Linked DNA regions of Schizosaccharomyces pombe. Each later gene encodes a partner of the first gene's protein in a complex. Each region holds a gene or a part of one and is shown on either strand. Other genes may lie near its edges.

Region 1 (5,448 bases):
GGCTAAATTCTTCGCTGCAGTCCTCGTTCTTATTCTATCTGTTGCCAATTTCATTATCAACAGCTTCTGGTCGGTTCCTCGTGAAAGTCCCTATCGTGACTTTTATCGTTACGACTTTTTCCAAACCTTGTCTATTGTTGGTGGTCTCCTATATCTCGTCAACACTGGACCGGGCAAGTTTTCCGTTGATGAAAAGAAAAAGATTTATTAAGCCAAAATACTGCGTGTTTCTTAAAAAAAAATGAAAATGTTGTTTTATTTTTTAATTTTTTTATGATTTGATTTAATTTGTCAACCTTGTCCTTTTATATCATAAAATCCTTATTTTACAGGTACTTTTCTTTCACAGGATCTTGCCTATTTGTACATTCCTTTGTTTACTTTGGCTCCATTCTTGTATTAGAGTTGAAATTACACTTTCTTCTATCTATGAGTGGGATCGAATTTAGGATATTATCCTATCACATTAATTTTTTTATGTCAAAGAAGTGAGCCTCATCATACTCATGTTTGCTCCTACTGATTCATGATTAGATGATTCTATTTACGTTTACAAAACCAAAAAGATGGGTAATCGTCGCGTATGGTCCGTATTTTCTGGAACAATTTTTTAATAGTATTGCTCTTTTCTAAAATAAATACTCGTTTTTTGCTCGTTTTCCTTACGCATGAACATTTAGTAGTTCTTGGCGTTTACATTCCTCTGTTTTTATTTTATCGCTTGGTCTCAGTTATTATCAAAAATGGGTTCTGGTATTTTGAACGGCCATTAACTTTACAATTGTAAAGGGTTGGTGTTTGATTTTGTTTGATCGTCCTATATTACATTTGACAAATAATTCAGCTATTTGTACACTTTAATAGGCACATTTATAAGCGTATCAAATTGTTGTTACAAAATGTGTTTTTGAAATTGTTTATGAACACATGATATTTGTAAAGTAAAGTGTATTTGACATTAGCCATGTAAAATTGTAATCCTTTATAAACATACTATATATTAACTTTAATGCAGTGTGTCTTTTGTTAATTACTAGTAAAAATCATCATATCTATCATTAATTTATGTTGTACATTATGTGTTCAAGTTTATTTGTAAACGATCGGACACTGTTCGAAGGAGTTTTAAATATAAACTTGGAATCTACATGTCCTAAAAGATGATCGTAAATGACCTGAGAAGGTTTATACGGGTTGTCACAAACAGCAAAATACAAACAATTTTGTACTGGACATGACCAAATACCAGTCTGTAAATCCGGACTAACTTTTAAAGCCTCAACTTTCTCCAAGTTATATGAATATAATCCAGTGTCTTGTTTAAAATCTGTTTCCTTTTTGGATAAGCAGGAAGATGCGGAAGCTAAATCGAGCAGTTTTGTAGGTCTATACGGTAAAGTCGACCTCGTTGACCTATTACAAGGGAATAAATTTGTTCGATCCAGCCATACCTGATCGCATAAATTTGGAGTTGATGAATATACTTTGGGATATTTGTTGCGAAGTAATTTCAATAATTCATCATAGAAGCTGAATGCAGGCCAATAACCAAAAGAAATAGAAAAAAGTTTAACAAAGTCAGGAAGAACTGTAACAAAATTTTTTTCAAAAATTTCCTCCGTAAAACTGAAAGCGACAGCTGAGTGATTAATGTATTGTTCATATGTATAATCTGAGCCAGAAAGGCCTGATCCAATATCAAATAACAAGAAATGAAATAATATCTTGGCCGCCAATTGAGCATTTGAGAAATCTAGTTTCATGCATATTAGAGTCCTCAAGAGATGTAGACTTGTTTTTTCTCCATTGTTACAATGCATGAATAAATAATCATAACAATATCCACGGAATTGAGATCGTGCTTGTTGAACAGAAGATCTAAAACCAATTGCGTGCTTAATATCATTAAAAAGCTTAGTACCTCTCCACGTGAAAGCAGTATGCATAATTTGCAAAAGGGTTTCGCCGTGGGAAGAAAGTTTATTCAAAGCTTCCAAATTTGTTATTTGTAGCTGTTGAGCAATAACGCTGCAAACTTCTTGAAGGCTAATATAACGTTGATGCTTCGGAGAGGTTGAAACTTGTATTCTTTTCCATAATGATATCGATTCAATATTTGGATCAACAATCCTTAAACCGGAAAGCCAAATATCATTCAAAGGAAACCGTAATGGAGAAGTTCTTTTTACAACTCCTAGTTGTGGTGTTGCTGTGGGAGAGGAAATGCTAAACGGTTGCTCGGGTAAATTAATTAAAGTAAGAGCTTGGTTTAAAGAGCTTTTCATAGTAGTATTATTGTCCGATGGATTGTTTGACGATAACTTTGATTTCTTTCGCTCTTGACGAGCATTGTAAATGTTTTTATTAATTTGTAAAATCAGATGTTCGTATGAAGATCGAATTCTTATAAAAAAAGGTGATTCAGACCATACATGTAATGAAGAAGTCGCAACCATTTGGGTTAACAGAAAGCGAATATGTTTTTGCACTAAGAGAATTGCTTGAAAACAAGAAGGAAGCTCTAGCTTTTCCTTTAAAACTTCGATATAATTATCGTAATCTTCTAACGTACCAGATATCATATCATCTTTGAATTTTGTCTTAATAAGGTAAAACAATCGATTCTTCTCGCTGATCTGTTCGTAAATGGCTTTATACTCAGAAGAAGGAGACAAAATTCCGTATCTTCTTTGAGGTGTAACGATCCATATGCTCATAGTTTCTTTCTCAGGAACGTCTTTTAGATTGTATGTCCAAACAGGCGATATTTTTATCGAGTATCCCAGAACAATGCTCTCATCAAACAATGGTTCTTGCTCATCCTTTTCAGAAGATAAAATTCCTGTTAATGAATAAGGGCCATATTCTAGAACGTCCTCTAAATCTACTAATTCCCCTGCTTTATTTGTAACGCAAACTTGTTCAATCAAATCAGTTTTCCGCTTTTTTTCAGCACGTACGGGCGGCATCGCTAGCTTTTTCCTTTTCCCCAAAAACAATACTCTTCGAAGTAATATTGCCTATTACTATAGACGGCATATTTTTGAGGTAAACATTGGTGTTAAATTTCTGATCTCTGCTTCTGAAATTTAAGAGAAGGGTATCCATTGTACTGCACAAATATATAATTAACGTCTAGTGCGTTATACTTACGATACGTTAACAATCACTATACCTATAATTGTGTTTTACCAACATTTCTTTCGGCCGTGAACATACGTTGCTTCTAAAGTACTTATTCTTTAATTAGAAAAATATTGATGAAGTTTGATTTGTACTCCTCAGCTGATTGTAAACTATTTTAGTGCACATATAATACTATACGATATCTCTTAATATTTTGATATATTTATTATTGTATAGAAAACAGAATTTTATTTAACATTATTTTTTATATTAGGAAAACCCACCGCAGTTCTAAAGTATCATTAAGTGTTTTAATGATTGCATAGCTGACACAATGCGTAATTTAATGACAGATACGGTGTATTATTATGTGGATCTTTAGAGTAGAATAATTGTAAGCTACGCAGTTTGGTATCTGATTTAAGGATACGTAGAACTGCGGTGAGTTTTCCTTGTGATCTATTATATTACAATACGCAGGTTGTATAAGTAGCAACTGAGTATAGGTATTGTATTAACTGGGTTATAATGTTACCTATCACTAATATAGCTCATAACTGAACCTCGTTCCTCAGTTCAGTTGTAACGCTATTTATAATATTTCTAAATAGTTGTTATCAACGGGTATCTACGTATATAGACGGATAGTTACCCGTGATTATCAATAAACGGATCTTAGCTAGTATTCCAACATATGACATATAGTGATACGCAACGTAGTGTATCATAGCGTAGTGTAGTATTGCTGACAATAATGAATTTAAGTAGTTTCACTATACGCCTCATTATACTGTAAGCTAGAGCAAAGTAAGAAACTTGCCAAGAACCAAAGCGGGTCTCTGCGAAAGGTAAACTAATAAAAATCGGACAAATTGGAGGAATTGAAGGGGAATTAAGGAAAAATATTAATTTAATAGAGATAAACTTATGAATTTATGCAGAACGCACCAAAGTGTTACCTGCCGAATTCACGTAAAGGCAGAGACGTGAATTTTCATGATCGAGGTCCTGAAACGTTAAAATGCTTGTACGATGAATCAGAAGATAACAATAATTTTACTATGCATTCTGAATCCATAGGTCCTAAGTCATTAGACAGTTTATCGCCTAGAAGGCTAAGTAACTATTCATCTGCTGTAGACCCTCGAACTACGAGCTTGGAAGATGTCCCTCGCTTAATTTTAACAAGAAGTAATTCACAAGAACAAACCCCTTTGAGAACACACACCCCTGTTGAATATATGAGTGATTCAATTCACAAGAGTCTAGCTGACTTGCAATTAGGTGGTTCCTCTTATTCAGTTGCTGAATCACCAGTACCGGTGCTGCAGTCTTCAGCCGTTTCTGAAGCTGATGATATGGCAAGTGCTCATTCTGCTCATCCGTCTCGAAAGGCAAGCAGGTCATTACGTCTCTTTGAGTCTTCTACCTCCAATAACTTAGAAACCGGTAACAGTACTAATACTGCTTTGCACAACGTGTCGAGTCCTCTTGAATCTGTTTCTGAAAGGCTCTCCAAATCTGGATCACCAAGTGTTGGTGCTCAGCATGATTTAGATGAAGTTATTTCCGAAAAAGATACATCACTAAGTCGAAGATCATCTCGTGGTCGGAGCTCAGCTCCTAAACGAAGAAAAGATAGTGGTAGTTCTAAAACCACAGCCACCTACATACCACATAATCCTTCTAAAAAGTCATCTCAACACCTCCCTTTACTACCTGATGCTTCGTTTGAGCTTGAAAGGTCGGTATCCCGTTCTTATCAAAGTCCTGCATCCACCCCGCGATCATCTGTATCATCTGTCTCATCATCTCCTCCTGAAGACCATCCTTTTTTCCATTGGAATGTTGATTATCCGGTTACTGTACGATTGGAACCCTTCAAACATCAAGTCGGTGGACATACGGCTTTCTTCCGGTTTTCTAAAAGAGCCGTTTGCAAACCACTTACAAGAAATGAAAATACGTTTTATGAAACTATTGAAGCTTGCCATCCAGAATTGCTTCCCTTTATCCCAAAGTATATTGGTGTTTTAAATGTGACTCATACTATTACTAAAACAGAAGAAAACGATTCTACTACGGAATATGTCAATACAGAATCATCGTCTAAAACACCTGCCCCCCATAAACACACATTTAACAGCTGTTATCAGAAAAAAGACTATGGATACATTCCAGAGGTTAGTGTTGAGCAAAACCGTCATATTTTTCCTGAATGGATGCTTCCCGACAAAAGATCTCATTCTTATGGAAGCCCCAAATCTTTACACCATAAATCATCTTCAGCCGGAGAACGGCCAGTATCTCCTACTTTCGTGG
Region 2 (5,049 bases), 400 kb from region 1:
TTCCAACGCGGTCCACTCATCCACTCGACGTTGAAACCTTTTTACGCGCTCATTTGTACGAATCTCCTCTTCATTCAGGTGAGTTTTGTTCTCAAGGGCCCTTCCCTCACTCTCTAATATTCTATTTCTCGCTTCTATTCTTCTTTTCTCGAATTCAACTCGAAAGTCGTTTAAAAATCTATTTCCCTCCTTTGAAGAGGATTCAGTTGGTGGAGGAATATTAAATTCATTAGAAAATTCCTCGTTCAATTCACTTTCAGTATTAGGCATAATTTATTGTTTACAAATTAATATTGTTTAGTAGTAACGCGAATAGCAAGCTGGGTGCAGCCAAGTGTAGTGGTACATGAATATGTAAACACCAAAGCTGTAAACAAAAAAGCTTCCGGTAGTTGTTCATCATTTTTTTAAATTGAAAAGGTGAGTTGATGATTAAATTATGGTTTTTGTTAACGGCATGTTTTCAAGTTAACTAATTACGTTTGCTTGAAGAGTTAATTCAACATTCCATAAAAAATCTCCATTTCTGTTAACATTAAGAGTTTCGGGTCTAAGCTAAACTTAAATTTATCTATGTTTGATATTTTAATTTAATTTGTAACACATTTTTCATCCTTTAACCGTGAAAGCTCATTTGTTTGTTACTATGTTTTGCTTTTGAGTTATCAAACCAGTCAGTTGATCATTAAAGAAACATATTAGATATTATTAAAATTTTCTTGCTGTAAACGTCAATTCAATAATCAGCTTGACTTTACCTTCACTGAGATTAAGGTTTAATTTTCCATTATCCTTTAGAATCATTGCAAAATTTTTGGCCTTCTTCAGTTCTTAAATATTTCTCGGATCGATCGCTGTCTTTAATTTTCTTGCCAGTTCACCCACGAAAAGGAATTCGATTAAATATTCATACTAGCTGAGCATTATTTCTTTTATACCTTCTCTGTATCCTAGTCGTCTAATAAAGAAAATTTTTCTTAGCGCGAATCTCCATTGACTGATCATCTTTACATATACCTTTTCGTATTTAAACCTCAATTCAGGTTAAAAGTCGATTTTCTATAATACGAAACTCTCCGAATTTATTACCATTGTCATTCCCCAAACTGTACATATTGACGTCCCCTCCAACACAACATACGGTTAGCTTTGAAGCATCCTCACTGAACCCTCCGTAAGTTATGGCTGAATTCATTTCCGTAAAATTTTGTATGAATGGATTGTTCAATCTCAAATCCCAAACCTTTACAATGCCATCACTGCCTCCGGTAACGAACAAATTCCCCTTAGGCTGCCATTGTGCCATATTTATACCTGCATCGACTTCCTCTTCATTAGCCCCGTCAAAATGTATCATTTTGGTTTTTCCATGCTTAAGCAAGCTAAGAGGTTTATCTGGTTTACGCGAATCCCAAACAAACGTCTGGTTATCTGTACCACTAGAAGTTACCAAGATTCCAGAGTTACTTATGGTGGCATGGTTAATGTCTTTTTGCGTTGTCGTAAAGTTGAGACAAACCTTATACATTCTTGTGTCTAAATAATATACTCTTCCATTGCTCAAAGTATTGCTACTTGCGACAAATCCAACTTGAGAAGGATGCATATATAAGGAGGTAAATGCTTCGTCAGCGGTGTTGAATTTTTGAACGAAGCTGGCAGTGGAAGCATCAAACAGAGCCAAACATCCTCTGTTATTAGAAGTATGAAAACTATCATATCCAATAATGACTTTGTCAGATGACCTTCCCAAAAAATTGGAAAATTCAATCAAAGATGCAGAGTACCCTTTTTCTAGAGCTTCTGGATAAATTAAATTAGCTGATGTGAGAATTTCTCCTGTTGAGTTGTCAGTGCTCAATAAATACCCATAACCATTTTTGCAAGCTACTGCAAGTAAATCGTCATCAGATAGAGCAAGCTTGTGAATATAGTCTGTGGGTGCATTAAAAATCCCACATAAATTTCCTTCCATATCCCAGACTTTCACAGCATTGTCGAATGCACCTGTATAAAGAAACAGATTACCCTTGGAAAAACACAAATCTGATATCGTAGAGTATTCCTTTTCTCCTACTTGATTAAGTTTATAATGGCTTTCCAATGACTGAATAGTTTCTGAGTGAAAATCACCAATCCATAAGTTGCCTAGTCTATTGTAAGCACCATCTTGTGCTGTGCTGCCTAAGGCAAATTTTTCGCACAATGGATTATATGCAACGCACACTGTATCCCCACTAGTTTCATTGAAATGTTTCCAAGGTTTTAAAAAGAAAACTGATTCCCCGTCCATAAGTTGATGAACTTGTTCTCTTTGGAAGTAAGATGAGCCTGCATTGTAAAAGGATTTTAAGTAATCTGGAAGTAATTTTTTATTCTTCTTGTATGTTCGTAAAATGATGGCCCCATGTTTGTCCACAGGAGACAAGCTGGGGTTATCAATTTCAAATTTCTGGCAATCTTCATATGCTCGTCCAGGAAGTTTTGGAGAAATGTGGGTCGAATAAGCATCATTGAACTGAACACTGTTTACCGGTCCAAATTTTAGTTTAGCTTCTTGTAAAATAAAGCATTCCTCTGGTGTAAAATCAACATGAATGAGTGATGGTTTATCATCGCCTGTAATGCTATTTGAAAGTAAATGAGTGTGTTTTCTCACTCTTTCACTCAAATAAGGACGTGAATTAGGTAAGAATGTCCCAGACGTTAGTAAAAGTTGCAATTCTAATCGTTTATTTACATTTGATGGAACTTTTGCAATTGAATGCTTCGATATTGATAATGACGGTTTCGGGCAAGGTAGCTCTGCGCGATAAAAAGGATCATAAATCTCAAATTCTTCCTCAAAAAATTCTTCGTTATTTGTGTCAAAGTCAACCTTGGGCAATTTAGAAGAGACGGAATGCAAATATTGCGTATCCGTTCTTCTTTTCACCCGTGGTGAACTATTAGTCATGCCATAAATAGGAAATTGTTTGAGAAATTATTGGGCTTTTTACTTTTAATCCTTCAGTGTGCAAGTTCACTAGTTTAACAGAAGTTATGGGTTGCTGAGTGAGTTTAAGGCACTGATTGATATAAAGAATTTACTAAGTCCAAAAAGTATAAAGACATTCCAAAATCGAAAATATTATATTAAAATTGAAGATATAATGATTATCTATTGAGTTACTATTATTACAAATTTATCAGTCAAAGGTAAGTTAATGACTTTACATTGAAGCGATAAAATCTTAACTATGTTTAATTTGTTTTAAAAAACTTTAACCGTTCTATTGACAACTCAATAATAAATTATATCCATTAATAGGAATCCCCAAAAAAATAAATAAACTTCCAAAACGCATATACTGACTTAGGGAATTACGGTCCAAAAAACTAGGATAACAAAAAAAATGCAAAGGGAGATATGGCAGGTATATAAAAAGGAAACGGCCAAAATTTGGGCTAATTTTAAAAAAACAAAATTCTAATTTGAGAACAAGAATTGCATATCCTCGACAGAAAGCTGGTTCAAAGCCTTTTCGTCTTGATCTATGGTTGCATGTATCATCTGAGCTTTCTTTTCTTGTAGTTCAATAATTTTGCTTTCAATGGAATTTTCAATACACAGGGTAATTACTTTTATCGGCCTTTTTTGTCCAATACGATGAATTCGATCCATTGCCTGCCACTGTACAGCTCCATTCCACCAAGGATCCATCATAAACACTTGAGATGCCTCTGTAAGGTTCAAAGCAACACCACCTGCTTTCAACGAAACTAGAAAAATGGTAATATTAATATCGTTACTGAAAGCCTCAATAGTAGCTGCTCTCGCTTTGGGGGTCATACCACCATCTAGCTTTACACAATTAAACCCGGCTTTTCGAAGTCGCCAATGAATGAGATCTAACATAGAAGTAAATTGAGAGAAAACAATCGACTTCAGTGTTCGGTCCTTCTTACGAAGTAAGTAAAGCTCCTCAACTAATGCTTCAATTTTTGTAGATGAACGCCAACTATTCATATCAATTCTATTCAAAATCGATGCATTCTTAAACTTCTCTTCAGAAAAATCTTCTAAAGCAGGGGCACTAAGATCTATGCTTAAGGGAATGAAACAACTTGGACAGTTGACATTTTCTCCATCACCAGCTGCATTGATATATTCCGTAACGCAGAGTCGACAAAATGTGTGATGGCAACGTGATTCTATAGCATCTTGAGCGACTTCGTCACAAATCTTACAGACGATATTTTCCTGATTTTCAATATCAACTGTTTTTCGTTTGCTAGCTAACACCAGGTCAGGATGATCTGCCATTTGGCGCATTCGTGTAATTAGCTGGAAAATGTTTGCATAATTATTCAAAACGACACCTTCAGCAAGATATGTATTAAATTTTCTTTTTGAATCCATATATAAAGATTGGTATACATCTTCCTCTTCTTCGTTGAATAAATCTTTCCTCACTTCAACGACTCGAGGAGGTAATCCAAGGTCATCAGCCCTCTCTAATTTTGTTCGACGTAACATAATGTGTTTTAATAAAGAATGCACCTTTTTAAAAGCTAGCTTTCCTGGACCTTCGTATCCAAACTTTTGTATTGGTTTTAGCATTTCAGCGTTAAAATAGCAAGTATGACTCATTGGTTTATGGCCGCATTCGTCGCAATTACTTCTATCGGAAAATCTCCAGTGCAGAGATTTACATTCACATTGCAAGCAATAGTAGTAAGCAAAAGGATCTGCCCGTAGGAACCGAAGAAGTGAAAATAATTCTCCAATACGGTTTTGCAAAGGTGTTCCTGAAAGACATATCTTTCTTGTCGTTCTTAAGCCACAAACAGCTCTGGCAGTGTTACAAGTCCTTGATTTGATACCATGGGCCTCATCAAGTATAATTCGGTAAAACTCCATTTGATGAAGTAATGACTTTTCTTTTACAACACCGTTTTTCCTTCTGAATCCGCTGCGTTCCTTCCTGTAAACTGATTCAATTACATTGTAACTCGTTAGTACAACATCATAGCTCGAAAGCTCTTCTCCTGAAATATCACGAGCCT

Evidence for each region.
Region 2: raf2 (region 1) and raf1 share a complex: the UniProt entries of both Schizosaccharomyces pombe proteins name them as parts of the clr4 methyltransferase complex.

What each region holds. Positions count from the first base shown.
Region 1 is NC_003421.2:498,380-503,827, reverse strand, and holds raf2 (CLRC ubiquitin ligase complex subunit Raf2), read right to left. Parts: upstream 3,064-5,448; 5' UTR 2,970-3,063; coding exon 1,059-2,969; 3' UTR 948-1,058; downstream 1-947. Other genes in the region: erv29 (cargo receptor protein), read left to right, coding at 1-211; kcs1 (inositol polyphosphate kinase), read left to right, coding at 4,062-5,448. UniProt on the Schizosaccharomyces pombe protein: Component of the Clr4 methyltransferase complex (ClrC) which contributes to the establishment of heterochromatin by specifically methylating histone H3 to form H3K9me.
Region 2 is NC_003421.2:99,216-104,264, forward strand, and holds raf1 (CLRC ubiquitin ligase complex WD repeat subunit Raf1/Dos1), read right to left. Parts: upstream 3,050-5,049; 5' UTR 2,957-3,049; coding exon 1,040-2,956; 3' UTR 501-1,039; downstream 1-500. Other genes in the region: protein meu23, read right to left, coding at 1-270; rhp16 (ATP-dependent helicase), read right to left, coding at 3,470-5,049. UniProt on the Schizosaccharomyces pombe protein: Component of the Clr4 methyltransferase complex (ClrC) which contributes to the establishment of heterochromatin by specifically methylating histone H3 to form H3K9me.